2 linked regions of the Ovis aries genome follow. The protein of the gene in region 1 binds, or shares a complex with, the protein of each later gene. Links are inferred from orthologs where the notes say so. Each region holds a gene or a part of one and is shown in the gene's direction. Other genes may lie near its edges.

What was found. Proteins that work in one complex are often made in the same cells at the same time.
Region 2: UBTF (region 1) and POLR1H share a complex: the UniProt entries of both Homo sapiens proteins name them as parts of the pol I pre-initiation complex. The link is inferred for Ovis aries from reciprocal best matches to the Homo sapiens genes UBTF and POLR1H.

The regions. Positions count from the first base shown.
Region 1 is NC_056064.1:43,774,254-43,777,999, reverse strand, and holds the start of UBTF (nucleolar transcription factor 1), read left to right. Parts: upstream 1-1,310; 5' UTR 1,311-1,563; intron 1,564-2,145; exon of another isoform or gene 2,146-2,249; intron 2,250-2,439; exon of another isoform or gene 2,440-3,746. UniProt on the Homo sapiens protein: Recognizes the ribosomal RNA gene promoter and activates transcription mediated by RNA polymerase I (Pol I) through cooperative interactions with the transcription factor SL1/TIF-IB complex.
Region 2 is NC_056073.1:27,951,232-27,954,977, reverse strand, and holds the start of POLR1H (DNA-directed RNA polymerase I subunit RPA12), read left to right. Parts: upstream 1-955; 5' UTR 956-1,015; intron 1,016-1,212; 5' UTR 1,213-1,231; coding exon 1,232-1,367; intron 1,368-1,605; coding exon 1,606-1,706; intron 1,707-2,127; coding exon 2,128-2,289; 3' UTR 2,290-3,746. UniProt on the Homo sapiens protein: Core component of RNA polymerase I (Pol I), a DNA-dependent RNA polymerase which synthesizes ribosomal RNA precursors using the four ribonucleoside triphosphates as substrates. Can mediate Pol I proofreading of the nascent RNA transcript.

The DNA.
Region 1 (3,746 bases):
TCGCCGCCGATGCAATTGCCGAGCGACCCTCGGGACTGAAGTAACCACACAGCTGCTATTCTAATTTTATAGACAAGAAAACTGGGATCAGATGAAGTTAAGACATTTAACCAAACTCACACTGTTAAGGTGGGAAAGCCCAGAGGCTGGAAACCTGGGACTTCTGACTCCAAACCCTTTGATGTTTCGAAGTCAAAACAAGAAAGTCATTCCCTGCAGGTTCTAAGTTGGAGAAGGAAATGGCAACCCACTCCAGTATTCTTGCCTGGAGAATCCCAGAGTCGGAGGAGCCTGGTGGGCTGCCGTCTGTGGGGTCACGCAGAGTCGGACACGACTGAAGCGACTTAGCAGCAGCAGCAGCAGGTTCTAAGTACAGCGTGACATGGCTTGGTCCTTCACAAAATGCCCTCTGTAAGTTCCAAGGGCAGAACTGGGTTTGTGGGGAGGGGGAGGGGCGAGTAAAAAATAATACCAAATGATGAATCAAAAGTAAAGAGATAGCCTGCGATGAGGGCCCTGAAGCTTAAGCTTCACTAGCATCAAGGTAAATTGGCCCCGCCTACCCACTAAAAAATTCGGACACACCAGATCTTGACAAGATTTTCCTCCCGGTTTGTGAAACGTGGCAGATGTGGGCTGTGGAAGTCCTGGGAAAGGACTCTCAGTTCTCCCAGGGGACAAGATAAATTACAGCAACAGCGAGGCCGTGGTGTGGGGATGGAGAAGGCTGTGTGACAGGGGAAGAGTCCAAAGGGGCCGGCGGCCCAGCTGGCAGTGCCGCTGTGGTAGGCTGGCATCCCTAGAGCCGGGGGCGATGGCGCCGCCCCGGAGCGATGGCCCAAACCGTAGGCTCGCCTGATGGAAGCAAGCGTTCTTCAGACCGTCTTCTGGCTTCCTGCGTCCAGATGAACCTTTCTCGGTGGAGGAGAGGCAGAGACAGACAACCGCAGCCGACGGCAGTGGGAGGGTAGATGGTGGTCGCGCCTAGGCCTTTCTATCTCCGGCCCGCAGGATGGTGGAGAGCGGAGGCCTACGGGAAGGCTGCCCCGCTGGGGCTCTGGCGGCGAGGCCGGGGTGCCAGGCTCCCCTCGCGGCTCCCCGCCGCCGCCGGGGGGAGGAGGGGCAGGGGGAGCAGAGCCCGCGGCCTGCTTTCCCAGGGCTGGCCAAGCCTTTTTGACAAGCTGATAGCGTGCCGGGGATTGGCTGGTCCGGGCGTGACGCCGGTTAACAACAAAGGTGGAGTTGGAAGAAATTAGATTAAAGGAGGGGGGGGGGGGTTTGGAAATTAAAGGGGGAGCAGGCTGGAGACTGGAGGCAGAGACCGAAGGGGAGATGCGCGAAGCGCGGTCTCGCGGCTCCGCTTCGCCCCGGAATCCCCTTCGCCTAAACCCACCGGGATTTTTGCTCTCAACCGACTCCCGCGGCCCAGCTACCGAAGCAGGGGTGGGACGGATGGTTGCTGCTTCTTGAAAAATGCCCCCAACTCTCACCCTGACACCCCTTTACTATGGCCCAAGGGGAGAACTCTTTGCTCGGACTCCTCGGATCCTAAACTCGGAGGAGGTGAGGGGCATTGAGAATAGCGAGAGGTTCGCTCTAAAACCCGGAAGGCCCTCGCGGGGCACCGAGAACGGACGAGGCGGGGCACTCCCCCGGTTTTCCAATGTGTTGCAAACCTAAGAGCTTTTCTTGCTTGCTTTTTTTTTTTTTTTTTGGTAACACCCTTCCCCCCCTTTTCTCTCCCCCCCACCCTGCTTTGGCTCCAGGGTTGCAAAAGCAAAGAGCAATAAAAAAAAAAAAAAAAAAAGAAAGAAACCCGCGCATACACTCAGACACACACCAGTGGCGACAGGGGAGAGTTGGAAAGACGCAGGAGAGAAGCAGGAGGCAGCGGGGAGGGAGCAATGGGAGCGGGAAGCCGGCAGGTTCCCTCGCAAATCCCCCTCCGGCCCAACGTCGCCTCGCCGGCCCCGGCAGGGGAGCGAGGAGCCGGGCGAGCAGATGGAGGAGTGGAGCTCGCTCTAGGCAGCAGGCTTGGCCGGAGAATGGAGGAGCCGCCAAGCGATCGGCTGATTGGAAGAGAAACGCAGAGCGATGGAGGCGGGGGTAGGAGGACGATTTCTCTGCGGGGACTGGCGGCGGCGTATACGCCCGGGTCGGGCGCTGCAGAGCTTGGCTAGCTTTCAACCCGCGCTCGCCGGCTCCAGCCCCACGCGCCCCCACCCCCAGCCCTCCCGGCGGCTCCGCAGGTGAGTGCGAGCTGGGGGCAAAAAGACTCGAAAGTCTCAACACGCCCGCCCTGCCAAAAGGAGGAAAAAAAAAGAAAAGCATTTTTCCTTTTCTTTTTTTTTATTTTCGTGCAGCCCCCAGCACGGTGGGAGGGAAGGGGTGAGGCTGAGTCGCCCGGAGGAGGCGGAGGGGCCAGGCGAGGCCGGGGTGGCCCGGGAGGCGGCGGCGCCGAGGCGGCTCTGACGGGCTAGCGCTCGGAGCGGCGCTGCGCTGCGCCGAGGCGGGCGGGCGGGCGGGCGGAGCGGGGCGGGCGGAGCGCGGCGCGTGGGGCTCGCCATTAGCCGTCGCTCCGCTTCGCCATCTCGGGCTTTGTCTGGCGGCTTGCTGCCCCGGCGTCGGCTGCGGCGGAGCTGCGGCTCAGCTCTTCGGCCCGCCGCACCCTTAAGGCGCCCTTGGCCCGTGCTCCCATTCACACGCTCGGTAAGTGAGCCCCGGCGCCGCGGATTTCGGGGGAGAGGGGTTTCTACGAGTGGCGGCGGCGCCGATCTCCATGCGCCCGGGCAGGCCTGGGGAGCCATGCCGGGCTGGATTGAACCAGCTCCCACAGAGGCTCCTCCGCCGACTCGTAGCTTTATCGCCGCTTGTGGGATTTAAAGAGCAAAGAAGATTTTTTTTTTCTGTTTTAATTTGCAAAGAGGACATTTTTTAGGGATTTTTTTTTTTTTCAAGTTTCGTGTGTGTGCTGCTTAGCAGCGAGGCAGGCTCCGAAGCCTGGCACGGCGATTGGCTTGCGTGCGCCCCAAGCCGGTGGCTACGCTCCGGGGATAAGGGTGGGCGCGAAATGCCCGCTCCGGGAGGCGGGCGAGTGAGCGGGTGAGGGCTGGAGTGGAAGCCCGAATCTGAGCTGGGGGAGAGAGCTCTGGAGCTGGGCTGCAAACACCCCCGGAGCCTCTCCAGCTGCCGGGGGGCCCTCCGGCACCCTCTCTGCGGTCGCGCCTCGCGCCCTCCCTCCTGCGCCGGCCGAGCCTGCTAGTTCCCCCGCGGGTCTGGCGAGGTCGCTCTCGGCGCCCGCCCGCCTCGGCTCCGAGCCCCGCCGCCATCCGGGCGGCTGCGTGTCTCCCTGCCCCGACCCCCCCCCCCCCTCCCCGGCGGCAGCAGCAGCCGCCGCCGCCGCCACCACCACCACCACCACCAGCACTACCCCCCTCCCCTCCTTCCTTCCCTCCGCCTCGGCCGCCCGGGTCCCCCCAGCTCCCGCCCCTCCTCCCAGCTGCCCCCCGCGGAGCCCGCCCGGGCAGGCTGTGGGAGGGAGCGGAGCCGGCGAGGCGGGCGGGCTGGCGCTCGCTCCCCGGGGGTCGGTGTGCGCTCTACGGGGAAGGACGCGCTCGCTGCCCCGCTTCTCCCGCCCCCCCTCCCGCTCCTCCTCCTCCCTTCTCCCTCCTCCTCCCCGCTCCGGCGGCGGAGGCTGCGGCGGCGGCGGGGGGTGTGCGAGCTGAGGCCGGGGCCGGCGGGCGGGC
Region 2 (3,746 bases), on another chromosome or scaffold:
AATCTCTTCTGTTCCACTACCTCCAAAGTCTTGAGCCCCTTCCTAAAGTGTCCTACTTCATCCCTGCTTCCTTTCGTTCCTAGTGACTAGGATTCCTCCTCCGCCTTCACCGTTTCCACTTCATGCCCGGTAAGAGGTCGACTCACCCCTTCCAAAGGCCCAGTTTAGTTCAGTCGCGTCCGACTCTTTGCGACCCCATGTACTGCAGCATGCCAGGCCTCCCTGTCCATCACCAACTCCCGGAGCTTGCTCAAACTCACGTCCATCGAGTGGGTGATGCCATCTAACCATCTCATCCTCTGTCCTCCCCTTCACCTCCTGCCTTCAATCTTTCCCAGCATCAGGGTCTTTTCAAATAAGTCAGTTCTTCGCATCAGATGGCCAGAGTATTGGAGTTTCAGCTTCAGCATCAGTCCTTCCAGTGAATATCCAGGACTGATTTCCTTTAGGCTTGACTGCTTTGATGTCCTTGCTGTCCAAGGAACTCTCAAGAGTCTTCTCCAATACCACGGTTCAAAAGCATCAATTCTTCGTCGCCAAGGGCCCAGCACTCGAGCCAGGCGGTGCTCTGCAGAGCGCCCTTGCTTGCATCGCGAGGTCCGAGGAGCGCTAGAACTGTAACTTCCAGAATGTTTCGCTTTGGTTTTTGTTTTTTTTAAAAGAACCAACTCAAAAAGAAAAAAAATAAAAATAAAAAAAAAAAAAGAACCAACTCAGGAACAGGGGAAGTTGTAGTTCCCAGAACTGGGTAGTGAGGGGAAAACAACCGGAGGCTCAGCTTCAATCACCTGCTTTCTTATCCAACATCACAAATCCAGCCTGAAAGTAGCGCTACAACCTTCCTTCAAAGGTTCCGCTCCCTCCGGGGATCAAGTTTGCGATTAATTATGACGTAACAGCCAATCGACAGGCCGGACGACAGGGCGCTCTAGCCCGCTTGCTCTCGCTAGTCCGCAGCGGCGTAGAGCCGGCGTTCTAGCTCGCGGAGTTGGCTTCCTCTTCTCGCCTGTCCCAGGTAAGCAAACCCCCAAGTCGAAGTACCGGACCCCGGTTTGGAATTCTGGATATGTGGGCTCCTTGGTCTTAGAGGCACAGGCATACGTGGGAGAAGGACTCGGGTTCTGTATGCTTAGGTCCAGGGACAGAATAGGAATGACCCTTCAGTGGGGAGGGAGCTACTCTCGTTTGTTAGCAATCTCCTCTTCTTCCCAGTCCTCGACCACCCTCCGTCATGGACCTCGCCGGCATCTGCTCCAGCTTTCAGTCGGACCTGGATTTCTGTCCAGATTGCGGCTCGGTCCTGCCTCTGCCCGGGGCTCAGGATGCGGTCGCCTGTACCCGCTGTGGCTTCTCCATCAATGTGCGAGGTAAGGGGCTTGTACGCAGCGACCCCGGCAGAGGGCCCAGCGTGAAAGGGTCAGTGGCTTGAGGACCTTAATATCGGTTGGATTGAAGAGGGGGACCCTGAAGCAGGAAATCAGGCACTTTTGGCCTTGGGTCGAAACCTGAAGGGAAGAATATAAGGCCTCCTGTCCTAACCGAGAGGGAGTTATGGGTGTCAGCACTCCTTACTGTCTCCACAACCAGTTCTTACTGTTTGCGCAGACTTTGAGGGGAAGGTTGTGAAAACCTCAGTTGTGTTTAACAAACTGGGGACAGCCATGCCTTTGTCGATGGAGGAAGGACCTGAGTTCCAGGGACCTGTGGTGAGTGAATGACATCCAGGACTGGCCCCATCAAAGGAGGGTGGGAAAGAAATGGAGGGGCGATTGCACAGATCTGGAGAGTTTTGTACCTAATTCCAAGAGGGAAGGGTGTGTGCTGTGCTGAGTCGTGTCTGACTCTTTGTGACCCCGTGGACTGTAGCCTGCCAGGCTCCTCTGTCCATGGAATTTTCCAGGTAAGAATACTGGAGCGGATTGCCATTTCCTCCTCCACGGGATCTTCCCGAGCCAGGGATGGAACCCGCGTCTCCAGCATTGGCAGGCGGATTCTTTACCACTGTGCCACGTGGGAAGTCCTTTAAGAGGGAAGAGGGGTCTTTAAAACATCAGAGTCTGGGGAGTGTGACAGCCTGATGTCTGTGACCGGAAAGGGAGATTATTAATCCCACCAGTTGCTTTCCAGGTTGACAGGCGCTGCTCTCGATGTGGGCACGAGGGAATGGCATACCACACCAGGCAGATGCGATCAGCCGATGAAGGGCAGACTGTCTTCTACACCTGTACCAACTGCAAGTGCGTATCCTTTTCCTCCTCTCTGCCCTTTCTCAATCTGTTTGCGACCTAAACAAATCCAGTGACTTACTTTTTGTACTGAATAAACAGTTGTGTTCTTTGGTCCGATCCCTCTCTTCTGTACAGTTGAAGTAATAGGGAAACTTGAGGTCGTTTTTTATTTTAGAAAATTACACTTTTCTTATCCTTTTTATACTCGGTGAATTAAACCTTTTAAGATATTTAAAAGGAAAGAAAAAAAATACAGAAAGCTAATGTTGCTTGATGATCTGGGTGTTACTGTTGCATCTTCCACTGTACTCAAGGTAGTTTTACTTCGATGAGAATTAGTCATGGGTGCTTTAAAGAACATGATTCTCTGAATAGTTTTGAGAACTCCCCTTTGTCTTTGGGGTTCTGTGGTTTCACTACAGTGTATCTGGATGTGGCTTTCTTTTGTTTATCATGTGTAGGATTTGCTGGGCTTTCTGAAAGTAAAGATTGATTTTTTTTTCTTTTCCGTCAACCTTGGAAAATTATCTGCCATGTCTCATTGAATATTGCCTTTACCTATGTTCTCACATTCTGGAGTTCTAATTAGTTGCTTATTAGACTTTACCCACTACTCCATTTCTCTCACCCTTTCATAATTTTCCATCTATTTTCTCTTTATATTGCTTCTGGGTAAATTCTTCTGGTCTTTCTTCCGCTTCACTAATTCTGTCTTCAGTTTATGTCAGTTATTGTTACTTAAAAAAATTTTTTTTTTTGAGTTCTGCTTATTTTTCAAGTCTCATTTTTAATAATTCATGATTCTTTAATCCTATATTATTTGTAATTCTTACATATATTTAAATATATTAAGCCTGATATTTATATTGTGTCTCCTAATTCTCATACCCACAGTTTTTGTGGATCTGATGCTGCCGTTATTCCTGCAGACTTTCTCATCGTGCTTTTTTTGTTGTATAATTTTTTAATATAAGCTCAGATTTTTTAGAATTTGGAAAACTATATTCTTAGCATGTGTGTTTCCTCTTCAGGTGCCTTGAAGCACTACCAAGCTGGAATGACTTTAAATAAATTCTCAGCTTCATGTGTTTTGTAGCAAATAGGTAGTATGGATTTGTGCTGCGAATCTAATGTAAGGCCAGCTTTTGGTTAGAAATTCTAGAGGGAAATTTTTTTCTCTCTCTACCTAGTGAGACTGTCAAATTCCTCTTCTGCAGAGTTGGATTATTTTTCTTGTTCACTTCTATACAGGTGTAGCCCTTTGGAGGTTTCAAACTTACTCTGAGTATCTCCTCTCAGACATTGTAGGCTTGTCTCTGGTTCACTCATGTGGCTCTCAAAACAGCAAGGGCACCAGTGTACCAGGGGCTTCAGTTTTAATGTACCTGTCTAGATTCCTGGTTTTGTATACTTTCACTCACTGTGAAGATTGCCTTTACTTTCTTGCCTTCTCATCAATGGATTAAAAATATAGTTAGAAATGCCTTTGGGGAGTATTTCTCAGTCAGGCTGAGAAAT